Linked DNA regions of Alligator mississippiensis. Each later gene encodes a partner of the first gene's protein in a complex. Links are inferred from orthologs where the notes say so. Each region holds a gene or a part of one and is shown on either strand. Other genes may lie near its edges. The genes, in order: PER2 and CRY2.

Evidence for each region.
Region 2: the proteins of PER2 (region 1) and CRY2 are in contact, whole or in part, in a crystal structure (PDB 4U8H), measured with the Mus musculus proteins. The link is inferred for Alligator mississippiensis from reciprocal best matches to the Homo sapiens genes PER2 and CRY2. Residues at the interface, in NP_035196.2 of Mus musculus: Tyr1132, Leu1134, Gln1135, Asp1136, Pro1137, Trp1139, Leu1140, Met1142, Ala1143, Asn1144, Thr1145, Ile1149, Met1150, Met1151, Thr1152, Tyr1153, Gln1154, Leu1155, Arg1158, Asp1159, Leu1160, Val1163, Leu1164, Asp1167, Gln1168, Lys1170, Leu1171, Leu1174, Gln1175, Ser1177; in NP_034093.1 of Mus musculus: Trp58, Ser63, Ser64, Val65, Lys163, Leu166, Thr167, Lys169, Arg170, Glu215, Leu216, Gly217, Phe218, Asn330, Pro331, Ile332, Cys333, Ile334, Gln335, Ile336, Pro337, Asp339, Asn341, Pro342, Glu343, Leu345, Ala346, Lys347, Ala349, Glu350.

Annotation. Positions count from the first base shown.
Region 1 is NC_081830.1:44,723,273-44,738,696, forward strand, and holds the start of PER2 (period circadian protein homolog 2), read right to left. Parts: upstream 8,026-15,424; 5' UTR 7,953-8,025; intron 1-7,952. UniProt on the Homo sapiens protein: Transcriptional repressor which forms a core component of the circadian clock.
Region 2 is NC_081825.1:226,429,411-226,444,892, reverse strand, and holds the start of CRY2 (cryptochrome-2), read right to left. Parts: upstream 6,018-15,482; 5' UTR 5,983-6,017; coding exon 5,780-5,982; intron 776-5,779; coding exon 667-775; intron 1-666. Other genes in the region: SLC35C1 (GDP-fucose transporter 1), read right to left, coding at 9,900-10,459, 13,394-13,943. UniProt on the Homo sapiens protein: Transcriptional repressor which forms a core component of the circadian clock.

The DNA.
Region 1 (15,424 bases):
GCAAGTCCAAGGACTGCCTCTATTTGCGTTTGCAATGAAATCTGCAGTTTGTTATAAAGTCCACAAACTGTTGGAAGGAGCCAACAAGTGGGGGTCCCCAGGAGTCTATCATGAGTTCAGTATTTTTTAAAACCTTCACTAATAACTTGGATGATGGGTAGGGGTGTGCAAAGAGGATAGTATACAATTCAGATATGGCCCTATCTGGGGGATAGTGATTTGATTCGCTGACTTGAATCACTGTCTCGATTCAATTCAGCCCAATCTGAAGATTCGATTCTGATTCGGAGAATCAGAGATCAGCTTTGTATGGTTTTTCTACATACCTTGAGGTACTAGGCGCAGCTTGTAAACGCTGAGATAGTGGGGCAGATGGAGTATCCTACAGGATCATAGGGGGTCCCCCCTCACGCTCAGCAGTGGACCCAAAAGTGGCCTGGAAGTATTTCTGGTCCACTTCCGGGTCTGCCGCTGAGCACACAGGGGACCCGCCCCGTGGCCTGGCAATTGGCCACAGGGGGACCCCCAGTACCCCCCCCAGACCCAGGAGGCACCAGTCTCTGAGCCGGGGGGAGGGTGTGGAGGGCTCCCAGTGCACTCCATGGCAGACCCAGAAGTGGACCGAAAGTACTTCTGGTCTGCTTCCGGGTCTGCTGCTGAGCGCATGGGGGACCTCCACCACGCTCCCATGGAATGCTTCATCCTCTCCACCATCTCAGAGTTCACAAGCCACGCCTGGTACCTTGAGGTATGTAGAAAAAAAAAAAAATAAAGCCGTATCTATGGCTGAGTTTTCAAATCTCTTCGAATCGATTTGGAGACTTCAAATTTGATTTGGAGAAATTAATGGGGGCGGTTGCAATGGATCTGAGCCAGCAGCTTGCTCTTGTTGCAAAACAAAAAAGCCAATAGTGTACTGGGTTATATTAACAGGACTGTCACTTACAAATGAAGGGAAACAATACTTTTGTTCTATTCAGCACTGGTGCAGCCTCACCTGTGAGTGCTATGACCAATTTTAGACTCTACACTTAAGGAATAATGTGGACAGACTGGAAAGAGTCCAACACAGACCAAGAAAAATGAATGGGGGCCTGAAAGGCAAGACTTGAAAGGAAAGGCTGTTAGAACTATAGGATGGAGATGGACTTTTGCTCTGTGGCCACATGGAACAGGACTAGGAACAATGGCCTCAAGCTTCAGCAAAGAAAGTTTAAATTAGAGATTAGGAAGAACTTTCTGATTACAAGCACAGTCATGCTTGGAACAGGCTACTTAGAGAAACTGTGGAATCTCTACCTTTGGAAGTTTTCAAGAACAGGTTAGACAGATGCTTAGCTGGGATGGTTTAGTCAGGGATGATTCTGCCTTGAGCAGGGGACTGGACTAGATGACCTTGTAAGGTCTCTTCCAGCCCTACTTTCCTATGATAACATTTGGACTTTCACAGAAGTACCCGCTTGAAAAGCATATACAACTATACATAGTTGTGAAATGGGATAAAAAATAAAAGAACAAAAAACGTTCCTCTAACATTTACTGAGTTACTGTAATGAGAAGCACCCATAGACCAAAGGCAGCATCAGATGCCTCACTGTTCAGCCTGTAGAATCTAGGGATGGTATCAGTAATTATGGCTGCTTTATGTATATCCTTATAATATGAAATGCACTATTTTTCTTCCCATGAAGTAACAACAGCTCCAAGGAAGTGAGCTCTGATATTGGTACTTGTATTCTACAACTAGAAGCTTCCAGGTGGTCAAGGTAATGTAAGGCTTCTTTTCCTTGGACATGGGATAACAGCAGAAAAGCACATTTGAGTTTCTGAATTAAAGTTGTGCAGTGAACATGCACCCTAAAGATACATGATTGATGTCTCCACAGCTTTAAGTTTCCCTTTGGGACATCACAAACCTGACCAGAACGGCAGTTTCCAACAGCCCTTAAATCCTGGAGTTAACCTTTATTATTAAGGCATCGTTAGTTCCGAGCACCACTTTACATTTTAAGAAGGTGCAGTATTGTGGCTTCAGGAAAAAGATCTCCCATCTACGATAACCTAAGAACTGGTTGCTATCAAAAAGGCTTTATTTGTAATGCTTAGAAAGTAACGTCATGACTTGTTCCAACAGAGGAGCCCTAATGACACTGGAAGCAAGGTAAAATCTCAGAGAAGAACCAAGTCCTCCCAAAACACAATGACAACAGAAGTAACTTTCAAAATTCTGGACACCTGAAAAGATGAAATCTACTACCTGCCTGCTGAACCAAGCTGCTGCTTTGTCAAATACCCTTGATCTCCAAATGCTTGAACTGCCAGGCATCAATCAAGTCCATCTCTAAGAATTTCAAAAATCTGTGGTACTCATGCAGATACAATAATGAAACCCTTTTCCTAGTATCAACTGACAGCACATTCAGGGGCCAGGTTGAAGTTGAGCTGCTAAGCTTCTTCTTGGAAGACAAAAAATTATGGACATTATAGTTTCTGCACCTTCCCTTTGGTTTCAGGGGTTTAATAGCCAGGAAACTACACAGATTATCTGGATTCTGAGGCATGAATGACACTTGTAATATCACCTCCCTTTTGGATGAAAAGCAGATGGGAAGTCTTTGTACTCAATAAAATTGGAGAAGCAAGGTTTTCCAACCAGAATTACCGGTGCTACCTGTATGCAAATTTTTATAACATTTTGATGCGGAAATTAAAGGTCTATAACAAAATATCTTTGGTCATCTTTGCAACAAGGCAAGCCATTTGTTTCCTTGGCTTGTGATCCCATAGGAAAAAAAAAAAAGACTATACGAACTTGCAGTTCAGGTAAGAGATGGACAGATGTATCATTAAGAGACAAAACTCCCTTACCAAGGTATAGTCCTGGCATTACTTCAGTCCAGCTATAGCAGCATAGAGCTCACTCAGCACTGCAAAACCTCCTGGAGAAAAAGTAAACTAGCCCATGGTAAACTCTGTGCTGCCACAACTAGACTACATCGGACTGATCTCAGCTCCCCAATCAGGCAGTTTAATAGCTTGGGTACATCTACAGAACCACAGGACTGGAAAGAAACTCAATGATCATTTAATCCTCTGGATTAGACGCGCACAAAAAGCAGGGCTCTACTGTCAAACTGAGGACATGGCCCTGATGAGATGTTGATACTACTCATAAAAAGGGGGCTACAAGAAACCATGTCCTAACACACACATTTGTTTGGCCTTGGCTCTTCGCAGCAGAGGAATATCTTCAGGCAGGTACTTAATCAGCAGCAAGTCAAAGGAGACTTGAAGTATCCAATTATTTCCCAGTTAGGGCACAAAGAGTAACTATGAGGAGGAGAATCCCAGACAGCCTGGAGACCATCTTTTTCTGTCCCCTGTATTTTTTTCCTACAGCTAGGAAAAAAAAATTGCCTGCCTGAAGCTGAAGAAGAAGACAAGAGAACAGTCTGTTTCCCAGGGAAGCCACACCTTCCCTACCACTGAATGACATATTTGATCTGCAGCCAAGGCTGCACATAGGGCATCTCCAATTTAATAAATCAAGGGACTTCATTATGAACAAAAATGAGTTTGAAATGGATATTGTAATGGCGGTGAAAAAGTTCTGGACCCTTAAACATTAAATCAAACAAAAAAAATGTAACATCATCATATTCTCCCATGTCAAATTTCCTTTGCTACCTTGAATACAGTGTAACAAAAAATAAAACTGTAATACAAAGTCCAGCACAGGTAGACAATTCTCCCTCACACACAGATGAGATCAGATAGTACATCTAATAACACAATTCAGCTTCTAAAATGTTCAAGCTACTTTTCAGAACCAACAGTGCTTCTTGTGTATACTCTGCATGCAGAATCTAAAATTGCAACATGGTAACCCCTGCCCCCCCAAAAAAAACCCAACAACAAAACCCAAAATAACCCTCTATGGATTTACTTCATTGAATCAAAATCTGAAGGACAAGTTTTTTATAACATCTGAATTGTTATGTTACTATGCATTATAATTACTAGGTAACCAGGCAGTTCTGGAAATAGGAACTTTTCTATAGTATAATATTTGGCACAAGCACACAACAGTTTCAAATGATCACGCTGTTCCCTTTTAACATGGGCCTATTAGAACAGCTCTTGAGACAGTAGTGTAAAGGTACTGTGAATTAAACAAATGACTGACCGGAAAAAAGGTGCTTTGTGTTACTGAAAAGCTCTTTTTAGACTTCTAAAAGTGCATTTAAACAAAACAAAATGAAAACATAGAAAGTAACTAGTTTCTTTTAAATACTGTATCAACCTAGACTATGCAATTTAGACTTTCTGGTCATCAGATAAGAAATCAGAGAAAAAGCCAGGTCACATTCAGGATATATCCACACTTATTTACCAGTTTTTAGCTAAGACATTAAACAAATGAAATATAATTCTATTCAGAGGAAATCATCACTATGATGAGATTAAGTTTCTAATCAAAACTCAGACTGTCACTCATTTTAGTAGCACCCAAAACACCCAAATGGGATCTAGCAATAAAACGACCTCTGCTGGGAGACACAAGCCTCTGCTTTCTTATTTACACTTAAGAAATTGGCAGAGTTTTAACAACAACAATTTTGGTCACCTTCACTTGTATAACAGTTTCCGTGAAAAGTTAATTTTAAAGTTTAATTCAAGGGAAGGCAGACATTAATTCCTAGTACTTCTTGCACATGCAGACACAATTTTAATAACATATTTCACTATTATTTTTGAAGAGGTTAACACATTAACTGACAAATAACTTAGTTTATGTTTTAACTCCTGGCTTTTTAAAGACTTGATTTTTATACCCTATTGAGGCCTACACTCAATACTTTCTTAACTCTACTAATAAAGAATCAGGATCCAAGTAAAGCAAGTCTTTGCTGGTATGACTGAACCTGTCACAACAAGTTCTGGTCTGGCAAAGCTCCACATCCAAATTTTAACTTACTTGCATTTCAACACACACTTATGGCCTCACTGTCAAAATTATCATAGTGTCCTTGAGGATTTGTCCTCAACATCCTTTAGAAGCAGACGCAGAGCTATTTATTGCTTTGAGTAATGTCACCTGCAAACATACTCGGTGGTTCAAGACACACTGACAACTGAAATCTAGTCAATTTATAAGTGTAATAAAAACAAACAAACAGCCTAAGATGCCACTCAAGTCCTTTCAACAAGTTCCGTTCTGGAAGCCCTTACAGGTTCCTTCTCTTTCTATTTTATGAGGTCTACATGAAGTAGATGAAGAATAGCAAAAATGAGTTTATTAAATGATCAAACGCACACAGACAATGCCCCCTTCCACACTATTTCAGTAATAATAGCATTGTGTGTTATTTGAAACCACAGTAAACAAAAACAAAGCCTTATTTTTTAAAAAGAAGGACCTTTGTGGTAGAAAGGAGGCAAGAGGTCTTTTTTGTTTATTTAAGTATGAAACACCCTGGTCATTAGATTACTGAGTGAAAAATAATAAATAAAAAAAATGCAACACACTGGTATGCATGGCAGATAAATGCATAATTCACTAAACTGCATTAAACAATGCCAGTCCAACTTTGTTACCTACAGCTTACATCAAATTAATCTGCATATCTGTTAACTATATAAATGGCTTCTGTACACAGAATCCTTCAGTCATTGTCTACTCTGTAACTCCCTGGTTCTCAACAATGGTAGCAGGAGGCTCCTTTTAAAGGTACCAAACAGAATCAGCACTGTATAGTGTGTAAATACCTACACAAGATGGCATCTGCACTATCAACCTCTGGTAGACAGGCTGTGGCTCTAGAGAAGGGTGTGGAAATCAAACGTTGGCCTTATCTATGTTAAGTCTCATCCCCTGGCCAATCCACCCTCTCCTTTCTCAAACCCTCAGATCTGGAGAAAGTACCCTAGTAAAACACTGCTGCACAAGGGAACGGACAAAGACCCATCAGAGATGTGGCCAGATTACGGCTCTACCCCTGACCCCAGGCCCTCACTGTTACTACCTCATGATCCTGCCCTGTGATCCCAGCTCTGCCTCCTGCTTGTCCACAGCCCCATCCCATCTGCCCAGCCATTTGCCCTGCCCGCACAGGTCCCACCCGCAATGGTGAGTGTGGGGTGGACGGGCTGGGGTGCCCAGGTCCAGGTCCAGGGCAGTGACAGCCAGGAAGCATGTCAGGCCACCACACCACCCCAGCCCTGCTGCGCACCTGGGGGCAGCAGTATAGGCCACGTGCACTACAGCTTGGGCTGCCCCCTGCCCCTGGGACAGGCAGGACAGAAGGACCCATTGCAGGCAGAACAAATTCCCTTGGCAGACTAGATATAGTCCATGGGCAGTATTTTTCCCACCCCTGACTTAGACCCTCTGCTTTTCAAGGTACTTCCTATCATAAACAACTGGTGCCTCCTGAGACTGGGGGGGGAGGGGGGGGAAGGGCACCACAGCAGCAAGCAGGGACCACCTGCAGGTGCCAATAGCAGTGTTGGCAGCAAGGGGGGTGGGAGGTGGTAAGCGGGGACCACTCACAGATGCTGGCGAGGGAAGGGGTGACGAGCAGTGACCACACAGAAGCCGAAGGTGGCCAATCTCAGGGGAGGGGCACATGCCCCCCATACCCCCTTTACACGTCACCTATGCTTCCTATGTTGTTTGTACAGTAACTGGAATAATGAGTGGGTCCTCATGGGATGCAGGGGAACACTCATAATACAAATAAGTGATAAAGGCCAAGTCTTCTGTGCACATAGATGTCCCCTCACTTCAAAGTCTCTGGCTTCACAGACAGGAACAACTTTGAAATCTGCTTTGTGTTAACAGGGCAAATTCCCATTCCTCAGACTAGAAGCATAATGTTTTAAGGCCAGGCTTCTGGCTTCACTTAGGTTTACAAAACCACCACTTCGCTCAATGATTCTTGACCAGGCTGCTGTGAGATCCTTTGAAGGGTGTCACACAATATTAGCACTCTTAGGTGTGCAAACACCTCTGTATGAATCAGAAAATAAACCCAGATTTAAAATAGGAATCTGTAACGCCCAAAACAATCCGACCTACTGTAGTCTCAGCTCTTTACAACAGGAGAATCGCTCTACTTTTCCCTCTGCAACCTATAAGTTCATGAAAACCAAGAGGGCTGCCTCAGGAATAATAATAAAAAAAAGTTGAGAACCTCTGCTGTCATGCAGTCACATCCTAACCATTATTGTAAATGCACTCCCTATAAGCACAGTGAATGGAAAACAGCTGTCAAGCAATTCAACCAGTTGAAAGTGAGGGGCTGGTTTCAGGATGGCAAACAGGCCAGCACTGGCAGTGCCCTGGGCTTTTAAGCAGCATTCGTCTCCTGCTCAAGCTCGGGCCAGGCGGTGCATGCAGCAGTGCCGCACGGCGAGGCCCGGACTAACCCGAGTGCCAGGCGGCGCCCGGGGAAGCGCTCACACGCGTGTGACCGCAGAGCTCGGAGTTACGCGTTTTAGAGACAAAAACACACGGGGCAGCCCGAGCCCTCGGGAACTTAACAACGCAAATTTCCTTTGACATCCTGCTAAGCCAGCGTCTCGGCAGAGCTGCTGCCGCCCTCTGCCCGCACCCGGCGGCACCATCTGTCTGAGCCGCTTCCTTCCCCGAGGCGACGGCGGGCGGCAGGACCCACCCGACTGCGCCCGGCGCTCGCACACGCGGACAGGCTGGTTAGAAAGCGCAGCAGCGGGAGCGGCCGCCCGCGGGGGACAGAGCATCTCCAGGCCGGGAAGGACGCGGCCACTCAGCCCCGCCCCCGCGGCCGAGCCCTCCGCAGCCCCGCGCCGCCTCTAGGGCGCGGACCCCCAGCAGCGGCCGCGTGGGCCCTGTCGCACCCCGACCCCGCGCCCCCAGGCAGGCCCCGCTCCGGCCCGGCCCGGCTCCGGGAGCCCCCGCGCGCACTCACCAGCCCTCGCCGCTCGCCACAGATCCCACTTCATACAGTCAGAAACGTGACCGCGGCCACAGAACCCGCCCCCACGTCGCCTATTGGCTCTGCCGACGCCTCATCTGCATGCGGAAGGGGCGGGGCTGGGCCGCCCCCCGCCCCCATTGGCTGCGGGGAGTGTCCTTCATTTTACATAAGCCTCACGTGCGACACCATGTTTCCAGGAGCGGGGTCAGCGCCGGAGCGTCCCCTCCATCGCACCTTCCTTTTCCGCCCGGCCCGGCCCGGCCCGGCCCGGCTCAGCTCAGCTCACCCGCGCGGGGACCTGCTTGCGGAGGTGGGGGGCAGAGCAGAGCGCGGCTGGGGGGCAGGGATTACGTCACGGCCTTGGTGGCCCCGATAGGCCCCCCCCCTGCTGTTACTGACGTCTCGGGCGGCCCCGCCTCTCTGCCCCTCCGTTGCTTGGTGACCCGGGCACTGGCCCGGCGCCGACGCGGTCCCGCGGATGCAGGTGCGGTGCGGTGCGGGGCAGCCGGGCCTGGCCGGGCTCCGGCCCCTCAGGGACATGAGGCAGAGGAGCTCGCTCGCCCGCCCCCGCCCCGCCGCCCGGGGCCAGGCTCCCTCCAGCCCAAGGGCAGCGCGGCGGGTGAAGCAACAGCAGCAGCAACTGCTCCGGAGCTGCGGACACACACTCGTTTGCCGGCAGCAGGAGGGGGCTCCGGGCCCTTGGGCCACGGCCATTGCTCCCGCCGTCACCCGAGTTTGTCGGCAGGGGCTCAAGCAGCTTGCCTGCCAGGCTGGGGTCGGTCAGGTGCAGGATCAAGAGTTTGCGGGAGAAACAGGCAAGCTCGTGACTCTGCCGCACCCTGCCAACTATTCACAGTTAGACTCAGTGAGGTAGACCCTGGGCTGTGCCCCAAAGCTTGTTAAGAACTTTATTCCAGCTACTCCATTGGTTTAATAATATCCTATCTCCTCAACGAACCGTGCCCTACTGGGTCCACACACTGAGACTAGAAGTGCTCCTGTCTGCAAAGTTACAAAATGCAGCCCTCTTGCGGAAGAGCAGGGTTCCCCCTGTAACAGGTCGCCCTCCCCAGGGCCATCTTCTCTGGTAATCCGCACCTTACGTGGGGCACCCTTGGAGTCTTCCTTGAAGTTCTTATGTCCCGCCCTCTTCTCGCCTGCCACGTCTCGATAGAAAATTATGATGATGATGTTCTTGCGAGCGGGAGACTGCCTGTCATACTTTTTTGTATGTTGGGGCCTTTTGTCTACATGGGCCTGACCCTTGTCTTTCTCTAGCTAGGCCTCCCCGTCTAAACCCACCACACAGGGTTTGACTCCAAGGCTCTAGCCTTTTCCAGTGTCTTGTGGCTTGTGACCCCCTTTCCTGCTCCAATCTAGAGGCTGGCCCCACTGTCCCAGAGGCCCAGCCACCAGCCCCACAACCAAGGGGGCACAAGCTCAAGGCCAGGGGACAGCCCCAAACTTGCACTCTCCCAGTCCAACAAAAAAATAAATAAAATTGCACCCTAGGTGCACCAGAACTCCCCAGTCTTTTTAAGATCATGTTTTCAGGTGCCAGGGTCAGTGCACCCTAAAATCCTACACCCCCACTAGCACCGGGGTCTATGTACCCCCAAAAACCACGTCCTCACTGGCACCAGGGTCTCCGCTCCATAGTGGGCCCCAAAAAGGAGGCCTCCTCCTTCCCCTAATAGCCTCGCCCAAACCACTGGTGTTATTTGATAACCAAAAGAAAAATAAACAGTCCCATCCCTGGGCAATATCTGCCACCCACAAATGTGAGTAAGGAAAGCGGTATGTCAGCTTGCATTTGCAGGGTTCGTGTTTCAGCTCCCCACCATCAGCTCCAGTCCTTGCTGCGGTGCGGCTGTCATTTCTCTGGGGCTTCCATAGTTCCCCTCTTCCTGGCTTTGGACTGCCCACCAAGCCTCTTCCTGGAGCTCTGAGATGCTCTCCTTCCCCCTTGGCTGCTGGCCTTCACTGCCACTCTGCCCAGGGTTATAGTCCTGGCCTGCCCCTTCTGGTCAGCTGACTAGCTGGACAGGTTCGGCCTTTAACCCCATTCCTCACCAGTACTCCACACCCAGAAAGTTCAGGCCTTAAAGGAGCAGACCTGTCTTCGGGTGACAGGGCTAGGGTTCCCTGTTACACCCCCCAGTCAGCATGTGGCTCATCTGCTGTTCAGTTTACACCTTGTCAAAATAAATTGTGTCTTAAATACAGATTGTGAAGTGTCCAGCATTCAAGGCTTTGCTCATGTATTACTTCAAGTTACCTGCATTTAAATGGGCTGCTCATTTAATTCCCCTTAGCAGGTAGAACACACCATCCCTTCCATCTCCTTAGCTGTTGCAGATGGAGAACATGAGACTTACAATCACGTAGGAGCCCAACAGAGGTGCTGCCTGCCCTCTTGGTCCCCATCATCTTTGGAGGTTGGCTGGAGTTCAGAGTGGCTCAGAGGATGAATGACATACACAGGGCCTACTCCCACAGATTCATAGAAGTTTAGAGCTGAAAGGCACATTGTGTAAATATTTACATCTGTGAAAAGAGAAGTGAGCAGGTGTCTAAGACTATCACCTGCAAGAGTGGAGCAATCTGGTATGACAGCAGTCTTTACGCTCACTTTCACAGGTGGAATGGCTGCATTAGTTGGGCAGCAACAGAAAAAAAAAATCAACCAGTACTTTCAATCTCTGTCTGTAACATGAGGTTAATACTACTTCCCCACCTCATGAGGGTATTAAAGCTAAATTCATTATTGTGCATTAGGTGCTCTGATATTTCAGTAATAAGTAGGCATTTTCTATGATATAAGTAACATTCTGTAATGGATTTAATTCCAAAGGACAGTGGGAAGCACAATTTCTTCATCTAGGTTTGTGTGGATGCAGAGGTATACCTATGCAGATCTAATTTTTGGTTTGTTCTCAGGTAGATAAGCAAATATTAACTAAAAGTTCCGGAGAGCATGCCTATGTTAACGTGTTGTGGGAACTTTAACTTCTAAATGTCTTGGTCTGTGTGAACTTAAATCCTCAGACTTAAGGTTACTTTAAAGCAGTCAACTTTTTGGGGAAGTAGAGGGATATTTCTTGCATGGAGCAAGCTTGTTAATAATAGCTTTCCAGACATCTAAAAGCATCACTAGATCATACTAATTTTAAAGGGATGCCACTCAATTATTTTGACTTCGGCTATAAACATCTGAGGAATACTGTCCAGTTTTAAACTCCTCCCTTTCCCTTTATGCACTGCCTTTTGTCGCCGAATTATTTAAAAGTAAACTGAAAAAAGTCATTTACTACTTTAAAATATGACATATGAGTCTCCTCTTGCTTTGCTGCAGAGTGTACTAAGTTTGGGGTAGAGTCTCTTCCCACTTTAGTTTTCTAAGGGTTTCAACCACTCATATCAATACAGGAAGTTACTCCTGATACACTGATATATAATAATGATCAATCAGGTCCATTATTTCTATAGCAGCACACATTCCCTGCTGATATCATCACCAATTCTAGTGCACAGGCACAGAAACAACCACATTGGCTCCTTTCTTACTAGAAACACAGTCAAACAAAATGGTTGCTAAATAAAGCAGGACAAAATAGTTTTGTTGTAATGTCTAAAGCCTTGATCTTCCTAACACTTTCACATACATCTTATGTTTTGCAACTCATACAAGTAAAATTAAGAATGTGTGCGAACAGAATCAACATTTTACATTAAAACAAAGTTTTGAAGAACCTTACTAAGTGACAGGCAATTTTATTTCCCACCTTCGTCTACTCTGTTTCAGAGCTAGGGTATTCCTTAAACATTTTAATAAATCTCTAAAAGAACAATACTACATGTGGACACTGTCAGTGAGTCAACATTTCCATGAAAGTCTTAAAAACAAAGTTACATCGCTTTCAGGTTGAAGCCAATTTATAATGTGTCAGATCTCAGTGTCCTTCACAGAGGATCTTTCATCTACAGTGTGACTCTAGCATTTGTTCATCTCAAAGTATTCCATCACACCATGTAACGTTATGAAATCACACGCTGACACCACCCACAAACAGTTTTTCTTTTGTGAGAGTTGGCATAATCCTTTACTATGTCCAACTTTCAGTTCTACTGGAGGCCCCCAAGGTCATGTGAGGCAGACTTCTCTGCCTAAGCAGGACTTCATTGGAGTCAAATGACCTTACTCTGAGAGTAGTAGTCCATATCACTACAATTTACTGCAGGCTCAGGGCCTAAGATCTTATCTATTTTACCATCCTCATGCTATATCCCTTTAACAGCAGAAACAGCATAACTAAAGTTGCATAGCTTTGGCAATATCCAGAAAGCTGTGTAACAACTCTCTCCCTGGCAGTTTTTTTTCAGTGCAGAACCCTTTTTTTGGCATCAAAAAGATTAGATAGTACAACTGGTCTTTTTTCCCCCTTCAAATGCAAATTTTGTATTCTGAAAAACAGCCTGTTTCAGAAACAGACATTATTTGAAAAACCTTTCAACGCTATCAAAACTTTGTCATAAGAAAATCTTGCTTTGTCTATATTTTAACATTGGGGTGCCCAAATTAGTTTATCAGAAAACCCAACTCAGTTTTGTTTTTGATACATGTCAACATATTGTAAATACTGTGAACATTTTAGAACCAGTGGAAATCAGCAGTTTCAAGCACTTTGGAATGAAGTCAAGTTTGAAATGCTTAAGCTTTTTGCAGAATTACTAAGGGCTTTTTTGTATCAGCTCGATTAGCTAGTGAAGACAAATAGGCTTATTTCTTTCAAGTAACTGTCTTCTCATCTATTTTGTTACTTTCAGTACTTTCCATGTAATTAATTTTATGACAGCACTGATTGAAAAGAAACACTGTTCTTGAGCTTGGAATTTTTTAACTGAAAAGATTAAAGAAATCCATATTTTTCCATATTGTTTCCATATTTTTCAGATGGAGTCATCTCATTCTTTATTTTCTAAAGCTGCCTAATTACTTCACCTACTCTCTTCTCACTCCTTTCTCTCAAATTTGTGGTTACTCTCAATATTCATTGACTGCTGATAAGGTTCAGAGATCCAAAACGGCCTTTTTGCTAATGAGCAAAATACATCAAGATTACCAGTCCCATAAAGAGAAATGAAGGGAAGGCTTTCTCCCTATCAGTGAAAGTCTGTCAGGTATTTTGACCCCATATTAGGGTAGAAAAACTATCAAACTAATTAGTCATTCACATTTAGAGATACTTCCTTCATACATTAAGCATACCTGAAGTGCTAAAGAGCTCCAACTCAAGCAGCCGTCTCTTAAGAAGTGCTCCAACACAACCAACTGCTTTTTGAAGATGCAGAACTGGTGTTTGGTTTCTTAGAGGACTCTGGGAAGTGTAGTTTTCCCCTCTCTGTACTCACTGTTTTAAATTCTTAATTTTATTTGTTGACAACTACAGTATGTAAGAAAAAAGAATAAACCAGAAGAAACTTGAACTCTTCTGTTTGAAGAATATTAGAAAGATACATAGAATATTAGAATTATATGGGTGGACCTTACTACTGTAGTAACAGGACCCCAGTTCCTATAATATACAGTACCCCTTCAACTGATCTAGTAGCAGGGTATTGCACCAAAGGCCCTGAGACCTTGCAAACTTAATTGTGCATTGTCAGATCACTTTGTCTGAGCGGCACCATACTGAAAACAATGGACATGATGTAAAGTTATACATGTGCTTAAGGGTTTGGAAAATCAGGGCGAGAGAGCAAAAATTAACTCTTAGGCTCCTGGTCTCTGCAGTAGAATCCACTGCTGAGCAAGACATTTAAACCCCTTATACATTCATGGAGGAAGTCAGGTATCTTAGAATAGACTTCACAACAGACAACATGCTGAGCAGATGCTGACAAAGGTAGCTCATAGAAAATGATGGAAGGGGAAGTAAGTCTTAAATTTAGCCCTTGTTGTAGGGGGGCTTAGACATCTAACTCTGGACTGCAGGCAGGCACATCTGTCAGACTGGGATTGCCAGCCTGAAACTTCCTCCATCCTTTTCAAAAACACAGGAGGGGTTCTCTAGTCCTTTATATGGCAGAGCAGCTGGTGCCACATAGATTCAATGCCCCCCTCACCATGAGGCTGTCCATTCCAAATCTGTCACATTCCAGGGGAGTGCCCTAACCTATCATGGGGCAGGATGGGGAGGGGAAGAACTCTGTATGTTGCCCATTTAAGCACAGCCACCTTGCAAAACAGAATTTACAATGCATTGGATGAGGGAGTGAGAGCATAATTCTGTAGCAGGGGTGGGCAAAATATGGCCTGTGGGCCAGATCTGGCCCACCAACTGATTAGAGGGGGCCTATAGGGGGTGCCCACCAATTGATCCAGCCCGCGGCTGCCCTGTGACACTCCACATGGGGCCAAGACCCCCTCCTTCCTCTCCTCACCTGGCCTACTCCCAGGACCTAGTGCCCAGACAGATCCCCACCCACACATGTGTACACATGTGTGTGCCCAGGCAGCCCCCCACCTGCCCCACAATCCCACCCTGGGATCCCAGCCTCCCCTGCCTGTCTTGCTCCTGAACACTGTTCTCCACCCATGGCCCCATCCCACACAGGGAGTTTTGGTGAGTTGTTGCAGTGGGCGGGAAGTGCCGACCTGGCCTGCGACAATTTGTCAAAACTCCCATTGTGGCCCCTGGGCCCAAATAATTGCCCACCCCTGCTCTATAGACTAGTGATTGGTACACTCATCTGGAACACATAAGGCCTGGGTTCCTGCCTCTGCTCAAAGCACTATTTATGCATTTTCCCCCTCTTACTTTATTGGCTGAATTTTTGAATGAAAGGGGCTAGAGCTGCTGTGTGTGGAGCTCATTGTCAATGTGCCTTAAATGTGCTCTGAGTATACCCAAGATATCAGATTTACCCAAAGAACCTTGTCTGCCTACCAGATTGGGCATCTATGGGGATTTAGCCTGAGGATCCTGACTGGGCATCAGTGTGGAGATAGGTGCCAAGCTACTCAACCATGCTAAAAAGCCAGGGGATCTGAGCAACCTCAGAAGCAACATTTCAGATACCTAGGAAACTTGAATATTGAAAATGTAGGCACTAATATATATATATCAGACATAGGCGGCTAGGAGGGATTTTGAAGATCAGTCTTTGAATAAAGGATCTAAATCCTAATGTTGAAGATCATGTAATTACAAACCCTTATTTATACACACATGTAATTTTACTCACATGAATAGTCACATGGACCTCAATGAGACTATTTGTAAGTAAAAAATTCTGTATGTTCTTCAGCATTTGCAGGATGGGTGTAAGTTCAAACATGGTAATAAGTGAAAGTAGATTTTCATCAGAAGATATAGTTCAATTAAAACTGAAACATTTTGCAGGAATATGGTCACCTCAACAAAATGTTAGATGGGAAAATCAGAAATGTCCTTTGATAA
Region 2 (15,482 bases), on another chromosome or scaffold:
CAAGTAGATTGCCATCTACTATAGTACAAATTGCTTCTTTAGAAACTCATCCTGCTAATCAGACAGCAAGTGTGGAAAGTAATGCACATTTCACATCCCTGGATAATACTTCAGCCCGACACCTCTCCCAAGGATATGCAACTATTAGCCAGTGGCCTATGGGAAAGTATCCAGTCTTTGTATCAAAGCAAAAAGAGGTGATCTGCTCATACAGAATATGCTAGAAATGTACAATAGGCTTAGACAAGTCAAAACACAAACCCTTATTTGTCCCTTGACATGTGGCTCAAAGACTATTTTCTGCTTGTCTGTAATGGGCATAGGCCTGGTAGCTCTCCTGCTTAGAAGCAGCTGGTGAAAACAGTTTAAGCTTGGAGGAACTTCTCCTTACACAAGACAACAATCTGCAGTGCCAGCTGACAGATGTGTGGCAGCAATAGGGAGGCAGAGGCTGTCATCATGAAAGATAATTTGTCACCTCTCCCAAGCTACATGAGTTTTGACTGTAGAACTGGCTGACATTACTAAATCCTCACAAAGGGTCATCCTGCCAGTTAGCTCTCTTGAACACAGACCTTCTAGATCTGACTGGACCATCAGCGACTAGAAGAAGTGAAATACAATAGGACTTACTGACCAAGGTACAGATGGCATATTTAGACTTACTTTAAAGAGTCTTGGAAAGACATCTGTTGGTTGACCCCGTACCACAAACAAGCGAGAATTGAGTTTTCTTAAACTGTTGTCCAAGTCTTCCAGGGACTGGAGTAGAAACCTGTGGAGGAGAAACAAGACAGACTGATGACAGTTCATAAGACTACAGATATGCATGGCAGGTTCTCCCCCAACTCCAGCAACATTATAAGCAATAACTCCTTCCAGGCTAAAGGTTAAGCCAGGAAGTATGACTACCTAGAGTTTAACTCATCCCAACATCAAATAGACAGAACAAGGACACCAGAATGCCAGTTAATTCCCTATCACTGCATAGACAAATAAACTTTTTCAGCACCTTCACACTCTTGCAATCCCTTCAACTTCAAATGACTACTGACAATGCAAGAGCAACCATCTGGCAGTTACTGCCTCCTTCAAGCTGGAGCTCCATAGATGTGGCACTGTCTATGTACAGGAGTTTACAGAGCAGACCAGCTGGTGGAATTTACCACAGATGATAATCCTGGAGCACTGAGAGATTTTAAATATGAAATGGATAAATTCTCACTCCCCCATCCCTAGTTTTAAGGGAATATTTCTGGAAAGTCATGAATTTCTCCAAGAATGGCCTGCAGAAGGGCAATGTGATACCTAAAAGCTTGCCTACGCAGTTGGTCCAATAAAAGATATCACTCATAAGAATTCTTGCCACCAAAAATGCCCATTTTTATGGTTCTTGATAGGTACATGCTATATTATAGTGGAAAAGTAGACAGAAATATTCCTCCCTGTTAGGAGGTGGCGAAAGGTCTCTGAAGTGTGCAAACTTTCTAAGGGAAACACTATCAGTACAGTGCATGTTTGCAAAAATGATATGATTTGTATTCCACTGTGACACTGACAACCAAATTTTTTATCTACACAGTCTCTCATTTCATGTGATACTAACTTGGCTTTCTCTCCCACTAGAAAACTGCCCCTTCCCCTCCAAAAAAAAAAAAAAAGAAAAAAAGACTGGTGCCAAAGTCGTCTCTCATTAAGCACTGAGACATCGGCCTGCTTCGCATATTTCTCTGCTTCTCATTGTGCTTTGTATGAAGTTCAAGCTGCTTCTGCTTCCTTTCAAGGCCTTACAAACCAAACTCCAGTCTACATTAACGACCTGGCTTATTTTTGCTTTGTTTAATGCTGCCAATGATTCCAGCTTTAACAAAACTTTCACCTCTATAAGGCGACTGTGGAGCCTCCTGTCAACTTGGAACCCCTTCCTTAAGCTAAACCTCTCCTCACTTTCAGTCAAATTATACCCGAAAGCCCACTTCTGCAGTCTTATCCACAAAACATGAGTCTGCATTTTAAGAAACCTCAATTAATTTAGGTTGGGGCTAGTTACAAGCAGCAGCAAAGCTAACCTACAATTCTGTCTCAGACCAGGAGCTTCCTTATCCCTCCCCTTTTCCGCTTAGTGTCAGTGAAATACTTGTTTGTCCATTGAGCCCATACTTTAAATTGGGCAGGGAACCTGTCTATGCATTTCTTGTGAGGAAAGAAGTGGCAGTGGCCTCAAGGATGGGAGGTCTTGGGGTCCACTACCAGTTCTGCTGTTTTCTTGCTGTGCTACTCTGAGCAGCTTACTCCCCCCTCCTATAAAATGGAAATACTGACTCCCTACCTCACCAGGACATTCTGATGATTAACACAAATGCTACTGCTGACAGCATAGCACACATACTGGCAAAATAAATAGTTCCCAGTTTCAGGGAGAAAGGTAAAACATGGATTAATACATTGCCTTTGGAAACCAGGTCACTATACCCAAGTCGTAATACAAAGAGTCAGTAAAAGCAAGTAGCAGAAAACTGAGCAAAATACAAGCTAGCATTCCTACACAGAAAAAAGCTGAGCTCCGATTAATAAGCATGTATTTACATAGCACCTTTCTACTGAACAGTCTACTGCATTTATTTCAGATGCTAACTGTGGAGCTGTAACTGTAGGGAGAACTGTGGACTCCTAAAAATTCCTATCTGTCTCAAAGTGTTTTCTCATAACTAGTTAAAGGAGTCTGGCTGGCAAACTGTCTCAGCTAGAAACAATAATCCTATTGAGACTGCTCATTGGCCCATGTGAAATGGGTCACAGCAGTTTGTTCAACTCCTAACAAATAACCATCTAAATCACTCAGGCACCTAACTTCTATTGATTTCAATGACAGTGAGGGTGCATACATTCTGATGATCTCTACAGGAACCAGAGGGGTTCTTCTTGGCACAACTGCAATGCAGACAATAAAATTAACACAGTTGCTCCCTCTTGTGTCAATGGGAAAACCAAGGAATGACTAGGTCAGAGATTAACCAACAAAGCTGTGGTCCCTCCTAGAGCAGAGGGACAAATGAAGCTGTGGTCCCTCTACCCCAGAAGTGAGTTCCTAGTACAGCAACATGTGTAAAAGAGTAAGATTGCCCTTCTGCTATTAATACTGCACCTATTTTTTAATAGATAACTTCAATCTCCAGGACTGTTAAAGAACAGATTCTACACAAAACTGTGAGCAGCTGAATTTCTGCATGTCTTGTGATTCTAGCACATGTGTAAACTTAGAGTTGTGATATAAAATATTTTTAAAATTAATTTTCAGAAGTCAGTACTTAGTGGTAGTTGTCTCCCTTAAAGGACTAAGTGATGATGTACAGCATGGGTAACTGATGGCAATTACAATAAACCCATTCAACAATCTCCTGCACACTCATATACATGATTTTTTATGTACCTGAAGGTGTTACTGAAACCTGCAACTGATCCATGGGCAGGGTGGGAAAACAGAAATCAGGTTATGCCTGCCCTTGCCTTGGAGAGGAAGCCCTGCCTGAGGATACAGCAGCCTTGTGAAGGAGAATCCCTACCTGCACTGGCCGTTCCACTCTGCTGGCAGCCATGACTGTGGTGCATCAGCATTACGTAATGCTCAGATAATACAACCAGAGCTGCCCACTGGGATGCAGATTCCTGCTCTCAGCAAGGCTTTACAGATCCACTACATTCCATCACTACTGCAGCTGGGGAATGAAAGCAAACAGAGCTCTTTCCACCTCCACCCCTATCCTCCCAGAAGCAGTCAAAATATATTTCCATAAGAATCTTGGGGGCGGGAAGAAGCAAGAGTGCATACATGTATACGCACACAACAGCCCTAGGGCAAAGGCAGGGTGTTGTTCAGTGCTGGCATGCCACTCTTGAGGCTGCAAGAACTTACGCAAAGCAGCTGGAGAAGAAATGTTTTCCAAAGTAACCATATACTAGCTACACCTATCCCATACTCTACCAGATTAAGAAAATCCGATAACATTACCTAGAGTCCAAGGTAGCTTCCCACATGTCAGAAATGAGATGTGAAAGGCTACACTTGGGCTGGTGTGCAGAATGGGATTAATTTTGAACGGAGCCAAGTAAAAATCCAAGGACTGAGGATCCAGGGAGCTCAGAGGTCGAATGCAAGGTTCTTACTGAACAGACAGTTTTGGAGCGTCTGGGAAGCCAATTCCATACAAACAAATCAAGACACTTCAGAAGTTCCAACACTCAGGGAGATTTGGGGAAGGAAAAGAAATTACCCACAGCAACATATCCTTAAACTGTATGTTAAAAAGTATCACTCCCAATGGAAATACAAACTAACTCAGGAAGGATATATTTACACCACACCCTACTGAGTTGGGCAATATTGTAGGACTTTGCTTATCCAGGTCAAAGCCTGTCCTATTCCTGCTGCCTTTTAACATAGCCAAACGATGTCTGAGGGCAGCCAAGACATCTCTCAGATTAGGGTTTAGAACATCCTGTACTGGCCCCTCATGATTAAGTAGATGTGATTTAACAGGGCTTTCCCCACTGCAAACACCTATGATCCCATATGCTGGGTCAAAGCCAGCTCTGGACTGCAGCGCTTCTAGCCCAGTGGAACAAGGAGCTACTAATTAAAAGAGGTGCAGTGCTGGCATTACATAGCAATGACTTCCAAAAGCTATGCCAGACATTTACTCCCTCTGCCAGGCTTTCCAGCCCATCCCACTTTGTTCAGGCCTTTCAGACCCCAACGCTTTTTAGGAGATGGCTGGTCTCCAGTTTATGTTGTTCAGTACTGGGCACAATATCAACATTTCATTTCAGTGAAATAAGAGACAGACAACTTACCCGGTTCTATTCCTAAAGGCAATCTCCTGACTAATCAAAAGACAGCAAGTGGCTAACAGCTTAGTTTCCTTTAAGGTCACAAAAAGATCAAAGGTCTGTCAGAGACCGCTGCAGTAGCCGTGTGTGATTAAGGCAACCCAGCTGCTGTCACCGATAACACATAAGGCCCTTCCTGCCCAAATGATCCCGTACTCATTTCCAGCTCAATCAACTGGGGGCAGCATTTGTTATGAATCCAGCAGGGGTGGAAACTCCTGCTCTGGAGAGCCCTCACCCGGAAGGGCCCTCAGTAAGTTATCTGGCCCAGCCCCTGCTCGAAGCAGGACCATCTCCAAATAGATCATCCCTCCCAAGGTACTGTCCAACCGGGTCTTAAAAGCCCCCAAGGACGAAGATCCCACCGCCTCTCTGGGTAACCTGTCCCAGTGCTTCACCACCCTCCTCATGAGAAAGCAGTTTCTAACATCCAAACAAAACCTTCCACGCGCCGCAAGGGGCCTGTGGCGCAGTGCGCAGAGCGGGCGAGGCACTGGCCTGCGAGAAGGGATCTGCGCCACACGCTACAAGCTCAGCAGCTGCCTGCCAGAGGCGGGGCTCTCCTCTCTCACCTCCCGGGGGGCCAACCCCACCCCCAACAACCAGGCTGCGATAAAAGGCACGTGCACGACCTGCGCACCGGGGTCGCGCTGCTAAGCCCGGTCTCAGCTGGGGACAGCGTGCACCCCCGCCGTCAGGACACGAGCAGTCAGGACAGAGTACGCCCCCGCCGTCAGGACACGACCCCCCCCCCCCCCCCGCGCCGAGAGCGGCGGCGTGGGCGGGAGTGCGCGCATGCGCTGCTGGCGCCGGTAGTCCCGCGCCACTGCCGGCCCGCAGACAGGTCGACGCGAGACCCCCCCCCCCCGGCCAACCGCCAACGGCCGCTCACCGCCAGCGGTTGATGCCCACGGCGGAGGAGGCGGCAAACCAGGGGTCCAGGATGTAGATACAGCGCACGGAAGCGGCGTCCCGCAGCGCCGCCTGCAACGCGGGGTTGTCGTGCATCCGCAGCCCACGGCGGAACCAGTGCACGGCGCGGCACGGGCCGGCACGGGCCGGGACCGAGGACGGAAACGAGCGCGACGCCGCCATGGCTACAGCCTGCTGCCGTCTGCCCAGCCCGCCAGGCCACCGCGCCGGCGCCAGGCCCTGCCCCGCCCCGCCCCGCCCGCTCATTGGCTGCCGAGCGTGGCGCGGGGCGGGGCGGGACTAACGTGGCACATTCCTGCCGCGTGCGTGGGGCGGGGCTTGCGGAGGGGTGGGGGTGGTGCGCGCGCTGACGAAGCTGTACAGTGGGAGGGGCGGAGGTAGCGGAGGGAAACAGGCTTCCTGGGCCTCATCGGGCGGCGCTGCTGCCAATCAGCAACCGCTCCGCCCCCTCCCCAGCTCCTTAAAGCGGCCTCGCTCCTTAAAGGTGGGCCCGCTCAGTAGTGGTGTCTCTCTCTCCCCGGTCCTACGTGACAGGCCAGGCCTGACAAAGGGCTCTTATGGGGTGGCCATCAAAAAGGACAGGCCGGTTGTCCTCTGTCCATACGAAACCCGACGCCTTTTTGTCCCCTATTTTTCTACATAAAGGCATTGGGTTTCATATCAATAGAGGACAGAGTAGCAGAAAACTGGAATGTCCTCTGTGATGGTGACCCTAGGTCCATAACAACAACACTAATGAATAGCAGGTAATAATAAATACATAACAGCAGTATTAATAATAATATCAATAATGATGATGATGATTGCTACTGCTAATAACATACACTGGGTCCAAGATCTCCCCTCACAGACTTGCCTCCCCCTCATAATAAATGTGTGTCTAATTTTCCCTCCATTCCCTGCCTCCTTTATTAGCAATGGCTGGTGTGAGCCTCGGGAGGCCGCTGCCGTTGGACACAGCCCCAGCTGAAGCCAGAGGGGCAAACCTGGCTGAGACATCCTGTCCTCAGCTCACCTCCCTATTCCCAGGGGAACTGGTGTGGTCAGGGCTGTATCTCCTCCAGCAAGAGGCAGCCAGCCCCTGCCATTGCAGGTGGGAGGTGTTCAGCAGGGTGGCATGGAGGGCACGAAGGGGAAGAAATTGGCCGTGGAGATTCTCATCCCTAAAGGGGACAGGGTATTTCTCCACAACAGCCCCTCTGCTGGGGCAGCCTGAGATTGTAAGCCACTAGCATGTTTCTCTCCATCCAGTTGGCTCCACAGGACACTGCAGCAGCCTTACTGTGCATGCACATGGGAGTGATGGGGAGGGGTGACATCCCACATGGGCCACACCTGGGCTTCCAGATTCTATTGGTGTAGGACAGTGGTGCTCAAACCCAGGCCCGCAGGCCAGATTCAGCCCCCCCCCGGTCATGTCATCTGTCCTGCAGGGCTCTCCAGTTCTGAAAATTTGGCAGCAGGAGAATGGTGACACTGCTCCTTGCTGTCAATTTCTGGATCCATTAGGAGCCCTGTGGGCTAGATAGCATAGCCCTGCATGCTGTATCAGGGGAGCAGGGCAGCATGGGACCTGATCCCACTGTGTGGGGTGGGGACTCCAGGGCCCAATCCCAGCTAGTTAGGGGTAATATAGGGCCCAATCCTGGCACATGGGGACAAGCAGGCATGGCACTGGGCCTGATTCTGGCAGGTGGGGGTGATGCAGGGCCCTAGAGCCTTGTCCTGGTTGCAGGGGCAGTATGGTGCCCCAGGGCTCAATCCTGGCATACAGGCTGCATGGGGGCTGATCTGGTTATGGACCAGTTCCACACTGCTCATCTGGCCTGCTGGCCAAAAGTTTGTGCACCACTGATATAGGACTATATCACCTACCAACAGATGAAGTCCTTAGCAAAGTGACTGCCTGTCAACAAAGTGGGAAAAGGGGCACCCACAGCCATACCCTGAAGCAGCACCACAAGGGGTGAACAAGAGCAGGTCTTGTTTTACAGGACACAGACTACAATCACACTTTCCTTGGAAAATTAAACTCACTAGAACCTGTTCTTCACATTCCTCCCCTATTGGCGGCATCCTATTGGAGAATATGTTGACTGAAATCCAGGCAGAATCAGTATTTATCCATTATGTAATACAGGACTAATGCCTCCTTCACTTCTCAGCCAGACCCTGTGAAAACCCACAAACGGTACCATTAACTGAATCATTTTAGAAATGGGCTTGGAAAGTCAATGTTCTCCCCTCACGTGGGCACCATTTTAAAAATGTTTTATATCACCATCATCTGGGTTGATTTGTTGTTGAACTGAAGTAGAATTTGCAATCTCCTTTGCACTAGGAGCACTGCTGTGCCCACTGTTCCCTTGAACCTTTGACAACACTGTAGAAGAAACCACCCTCAAGATACCAATCCATAATTTTATTTAATATGTTTTACAATCACAGGTCAATGTTTGCAACTCTAAAATCTATCCCAGTAGAAAACTCAAACCATGGGAAAAATTCCACCCTTTACCAAAGGAAATAAAAACGGGGAGGGAGACCATCATTAACAAGGCAAATTGAATTTAGAATTCCAGTGACCTTGGTTTCCTGAAATTTAGGAAAAACCTAGCTAGCAAGGACAAAGGTAAAAAAAAAAAGTCAGATTGCTTTCATAGCAGCAATCTGGTGCTATTTAAGATCACTCAGAGGATACTGAGAATAGGTTATACCAGCTCCCAGCACACCCCACTTAAAATAATCTTTGGATGTGAGAGGACTCAGGGTTTAGATAAAGCTAGAACAGTAGGGAATGAAGGTCAACACCTGGAGGAATGAGGAGAGAAAAGTGACTGTATAATACAGCCTCAGATGGCACTTGATGGGACAGGAGAGGGAAAGGTTCCTGCACAAGTCTGACACTGCAGAGACTGCTAGAGTATAAAGTTCTGCACCAGCTCTGTTCACCCTTCTGATAGGGCCTGGGATTTCTTGGTAAAACATTTACCTTTTATCCCCACGTGCTGTCACTGAACTGGAATTATGGCATTTTCCATGCCTAAGCATCAGTTCTGTAGTGAATCTTCTAGGAAAGGTCCCCAGGAAGGCAGCCATAGCAGGCAAGCAATAATCCAGCCTGAAACTGGCCTAATTAATGAAAGCATTATTTATTTCCTGTATTGGAAGAGAAAATTATAAAAGTCTGATTTTCCCCAACTGGCTATTTTTGGATCCTCACCACAGAAAGGAAAATACTTCAGAAACCCACAAGGACAGAGACCTAGTTACTCCAAAAGACAGAGTCGCAAATATCCAGTAACCTCATGTGAAAAAAGCCAGCATCCTTCCCACCTACACAAGGAAAGCTGCCAGTCTCAAGAAAGGAGACTAAGATTTGGTCCCTCCTTTGTAATGATTTCTTGGGACACACATATCCTGTGGATGCAGAAAAGAGGTAGCAAACTATATTGAGAAATCTCAACCAGAAGAGTTACTGGCTGTTTAGACAAGAAATTCAGAGGTGTGTCCTTCTGCTAGATTCACTCAGAACTTGTAGTGAAGGGATTTTCCACCTGTGACTTGTAAAAGGACCGGAATGGGAAGAACAGCTATTTCCATTTATAATAGGGGGAACATTTGTGTAGAAGCCAGGCTGCCCAGACTGCTATGTTCCCCTCCCTTATATTTAGGTGCAGGATATCATTGTATTCAAGACCATGTAGTTGGCTGCCAATATCTATTCCCAGCTACACAGCAAAAATGCTGTTTCCCCCTTCCTCACAGTAAGGGTTTCCATATGGTGCACAATTGGTAAGTTACCAATGGTAACAGCTGTTTAAAAAAGGCACCAACACAGAGAAGCCCTTTGTCTCCTACACCCCCTTTCCAGTTCAAGAAACAGGATGAACTCCTCTGGAAATAGCATCCTTCCATCCCTCGTTGCAGAAACCATTATATATGGTAGGCCTTTGGCTTTAACTCCTGAGACAAACGCCTCATGCATTTTATAAGTTCGTGATTTTCTGCCCTGGAAGTTTCTGCTCTTGGCTCCTTTTCCAGCAAAGCTCCATTCCACAGACACAGCAGCAGAGGTGCTAGACACCGGTCTCACTTTTCTCACCTGGTTTTGGAGACAATTCTTCCTGTACCTTCCTCATCTCCAGCCCTTTTACCCATGTATATGCAAAGGATCCCCCCAGAACCATCATGTTGCTTGTCCACCACAGGAAGCTTTTGGTCTCCTCATAGTAGGCAACAGCCAAAACTGTCTGGGCACAGGCTTTAGCTGTTCCAGAGACATTATGGGTGAGTGGGCTGGTGAACTTTATCTGGAGTCCCGTCACATACCCGATGGCAAAACCAAACACTCCACCGAGGGTCATCATACCCCAGAAGCTGGGGTCTCCCAGCTTATCAAAGTGGTAGAGGGTATGAAACTCACCAAACAACAACATAAGGGGCAAGAATAGGACACACGCATTCACATTGTTGTAGAAGGTCAGACGCCAGATGCTGCTATCCACAGCAGGCAGAACTTTCTTGGTATAGATGGCATTGAGGGAAACGCAAAGACTTGCCAGGATCCCAAAGGCTATGCCGGTCCATGACAAGGTGCCTTCTGCTCCTTCCTGGTCTATACCCAGCCAGAAGCCACCTGCAAAGCAGACAAAATTGGTGACATACTGACAGGGGGACCAGAAAGTGACAAAAAGACCAAAATGCTACATACAAAAATCGCATTTATAAACCAACTGACAAAGGATTATATAAAAAATGAAAATAAACAAACAATGTTTGTGGATTGCCCATCTTATGAAGACAAAAAGCAACCCAGAGCACAAAGGCAGTGTCAGAGTGGTACCCCTCATCGTGTTTGAACCCTAAGAAGAGGAGTCAGAAGCGTTCTGTCTGATTTTGTTTGAGATGTATAGCTTTCCAAGTGTTTAATCCATCACTGTAATAAGAGAGGTATTACCCAAAGTTATAGTTCGGCTTGAAAAGAAACAGAAAAGAAACCAGCTCAGTTGCTCAACTTTCACTATCTTTGTTCTAGGGATATTGATATCTCACCATTCTCCAGGTTCAGGCTAGAAAGGGACCAAGTTTCTCAGGCTGCCAAAAGTGACAAAAAACCCCAACCAAAAAGCCCACAAAACTAAAGACGACATGTGCTCCAAGGAGCTTGCTAGGCTTCCTTTCTCCAGCATAAATACAAGGAGGAAAAGAGATAAGTACCCTAGTTTGTCCTTTCAAGGCATCTTTGAAAAAAAAAAAAAAAAAAAAAAAAAGTTAAATATAGACATAACATTAGATTCAGTGGTACAGTAAACCTCACTAGTACCTGCCCTGGAGAGAAATTCAGACTCCATGACCCATACAGCCTCTGCTGCATTTTTTAACAGGGAGAAAGTGGTCGGGGCAGAGTGTATGCATGTCACAAAAACTAAGACCTTTGAGCAAAAGTCCAAAGATTCTAAAGCAGAAGCTGAGTGTGAAGCCTTCTTTGCATCCAGTTACCTGGAAAGTAACTATGTCCTTTGTGTTTCTCTTGGGACCTGAGCTATGGGCTTCATTTCACCTTAGCAACACTGACTGACAATTCCCCACATAGGCAGGAAGGAAAGGAATGTGTAAGAGGTCATCAGCTGCTGAGGAAAAAATGAAAGCTTGAACTCCAGCTTTGATAAGGAAGTAAAGGATGAAAGAACCTGCAACTACTTGCTTGTAGCACATTTACATTTTTAAAGTCTCCATATCTGAAGACAGGAGGGGGAGTCTAGTTCTTTCATACTGGACTGGGCTTGAGGTTGAACAGAAACAGAAAGGTGAGGCTCCTTTTGCTTTGATATGCATTCCAGGGCATGTCTACATTACAAGATGCACTTGTGTCTTGGCTCACGTGCACGTGTATGAAAGCAAGCAAATAGCTACGTAGGGCGGGCAAAGAATTGTGCAATGACTTTGGATGACTACCTGTGTGAGCACACATACCTGCACCTTTTCCCTACTGCAGAATGGTGGCGTAAGAGAATAGTTCAAAGCACATGTACTTTATCTCACACCCCCAACTAACCATACAAGTTTGGTTCAATGTACGTAAACATTTTGCATATGGATGGCAGAAGGACCGGGAAGCAACCTGTCTTGCTATGTGCTAGGGCAGGATCCACGTGGCAAGAGTAAAACCCAAGGGAAAAGGCTCAGAGTAATCCATCAAGTAAACTACACTTGGCAAAAGGTACATCCTATAGCACTGTCCGCCACCCAAACCTGGAATCAGCTGGAGCTGGCTGTTCCCATTATTCAAATGTCAAAATGGCTAAACATCTTTCTGAGACAGATAGGTCTGCTCCATCATCTCAACCACCAGGGATAGAAGAAGTCTCGCACAACACTTGGCCTGCCTCTGTAGAGATTAAGTGAATACCTGAGACCAACTAACTTACCTCAGGCCTCCTATTTGTCCTCAAATGGCAATGACCTTCTTATCTGTGCTTAGGGCCTAGAGGTCTGCACTCAGCTCCCCAGTATGTCCCAGTCAGCCAGTTCCACAGCCTTCCTTTAAATTCCTTACATCACTACAATCATTTGACATCTATTCCTACTCTGTTTATCTTACACTTTCTCCTATACAGGAAACTCATACTGGCTGGGTCCTTACTCCATATGGTACTAGCCAAAGTTTTTTAGTGCTGCCCAAATTAGTAACAGAACAGGAGTGGAAAAAAGCACTCATATAACAATTTAAAATAGGAGGATGAGGAAGTGCGTGTAAAAATATTAACAGATTCATCTTCAGTCACAAGAGTAGGTTGCAATTATTTAGCACTTAAATTCGGTGAAGACTAGTTGGGCAAGGCAGCCAGTGCAGTTCTACAGTTTATGAAAGATGAATCCTATCCACACATGGCAGAGATGTGCAGCAACTTGCCCAAGGTTAGGCTGTGTGTCTGTGACAGAGCAAGGAAGAAAGGCCAGAAGTTACAGTAACATAAGAGTTTTTTATACAGATGGAAAGAACAAAAAGGAAAAATAGTCTTGCGTTTAAGCCAGTGCATCTGGATTCAATTTCCTGCTCCATCACCAGTCTTCATGCCTTAGTTTCCCATCTATAAAATGGAGATGTGGTATTTTCTGTCCCATGGGGAATATATTTAATAATGAATGAGGCACTTGGATAATGCGGTGGTGAGGGCCAGGGGTATTTTGGTGGCTAGAATGACAATCCCATTCATCCCCCTATGCTAGGCAAGACAACTGAGTTGCAGGCTGTGAGCACATGGCACTAGATGTCAGGCACTTGGGGCTCCACGTCCTGAGGTCAGCTTAGGTCAGCTCTGTCACCAATGAACTGTCCGACTTCGGACAAATCTGGCTCACGGACACCTCCCTTTGCAGAAACGTGAAAAGGATCATCCTGTCTCATGGGGCAGGGAGAGCTCATGGGGGCAGGCAGAGCTGTATAAAGTGATGCAGCTTTACAGAGCTCTACATAACATGCGCTGGGTATTGCTCTGCAGAACGGACATGGAGGGAGACTCGCTCAACCCCTCAACCACAGGCCCCCTAACCACTGGGCCCTACTCACCTATGATGACCCCGCAGGTCAGCAGGGCGTAGAGGGAGGTGGTCTGCTTGAGGAGCAGGTAGGAGAGCAGGACGTTGAAGACGGTGGTGAGCGAGCGGCCCACGTTGTAGAAGGCCACACCGACGTGCTTGAGGCACAGGTTGTTGAAGGTGATCATGCCGATGAAGACGAGGGACAGGGGCAGCACGCTGCGTGACACCTTGAGGTCCAGGCGCAGCGAGGGGAAGTCCAGCGTGCCCGGGGGGCCGCAGACAGCCAGCAGGCTGAACCCCTTGCACAGCAGGGTGGTGACGGCGCACTGGGAGAAGGTGACGAAGAGCGGCGCGTCCAGGCGCAGCGTGGGGCTGTCCAGCAGGTACTTGTTGAGGAACACCATGGTGATGGAGATGGCCCAGTAGAGGCAGACCACCAGCGCGATGCGCGCGGCGCGGAGCGCGAAGGGCGGCTCCCGGCGGCTGCTGCCATCCTCCTCGGCCGGCAGCAGCGGGTCGGCGGCGCCGCTCAGCGCCATGCGCAGGATGCCCGCGCGCTTCAGCTGCGCCCTGTTCATGGTCCAGCCGTCAGCCCGCAGCCCGACCCCGCCAGCCCCTCCTCCCCCTCCCGCGCCCCGCAGCCTGCTGGGGCACGGCTTAAAAGGGCCGCGGCCTGATCCCCCCACAGCCCCGCTTACCTGTCCCTGCTGCTGCTGCTGCTGCTGCTCCTGCTGCTGCTGCTGCTGCCGCCGCCGCCGCCGCCGCCTCCCGGAACAGCACAGCTTCCTGCTGCGGCCCCGCCCGCCGCCGGCCCATTTATGCCCGGGGTCCGCCGCGCCGGGCCGGGCCGGGCCGGGCCCGCTCTCGTGGGTGACCTTTCTGTGGGCGCCCTGCGGTCAGCGCTGCCCCTGGCCCCCCTCCTCCCGGCCCTCGCCCAGCCAAGGGGAGGCCGGCCCGGCTCGGACCCCAGAGGAGGTCAACGCATCTTGCTGACGCCTGGATGCTGGGGCGTCTTCCCGCCTCGAGTCTCATCGGGCAGCGCCTGCTGGCTCCGTGGTGCCGGTCGAGGGCCGGGGGATGCCGGCCCGTGTGCTGTGCTGGGTGTCGCCTGCCTTGGAGCGCTGGTTACTAACTTCTGACCCTTTGTCTTCTCTGTTACGACTCTCGTTGTCCCGAGGAATCGGTTGCGAGGTTTCCCAGGGCCTCCCTTTCCAGGAGAGACGTTGTGCTTGGTGGCCTAAGCCCTGGATCCCCAGAGTGTAACAAACAGGCCTGTCCCGCATCTGGTCATGTCTCTGCACGGGCAACTGGTGCCTCCCGGGTCTGGGGGGCACCTGCAGGCACTGCCAGAGGCATTGGTGGTGGGGCCAGAGCTGGCGAGCTCCCGCAGGCGCCACTGCCTGTGGTGGCGGTAGACCTGTCAGGGGGGCATGTGCCCCCCCATGCTCCCCCTATGCATTGTCTACGTGTCAATGGGCAGTCTCACCAGGCAGTGTCTACTGGCTCCCTGGATTCATTTGAGGGCCAGTGGGTGCTGGCCAGTGTGCTCTGCTTAGTGTCTTCCTCCGGGCACTTATTAACCTCCAGCTCTCACTTCTCTTCCTGTTATTGCTCTCTTCATAAGCATGAATCCTGGTATCCCCACTTCAGTGCCCACTGGGCACCGCATGTGCTAACCTCTGAGAGCTCCTACATGATTATAGTCTGCAGACAGCCAAAGTTTTATGAAGAACAGTGATGGTCAGCTGTGGCACTCTGGGGTGCGGCGAGATCCTTTGAAGGGTGTTGCACAGAGGCCTAATAAGGAGGGTTGGAGCCCTAGGCAAACTCTGTGGGAGAGTTGGAGGGGGGCATGTGGTGGTGGAGGGGGGTGTCCTGCCAGCAAGAGCAGCCCCACAGCCTACCCATTCCAGGAACACTCAGACAGTCCCCGGATAGTGTTTCTGCCGCCACTGTGTGCTCTGCCTGCCTCTGCTGTTGATCTTAAAACAGCAGCAGCAGCAGCCTGGGCTGCTTTGGAGTTCCCGGCAGGGGTAAGCCATGGGGCTGTTCTTGCTGTTGGAGCATGGACTCTGCAGGGGTGGGGGCAATTCTGGTAGCTCTCCTAACTTAGCACC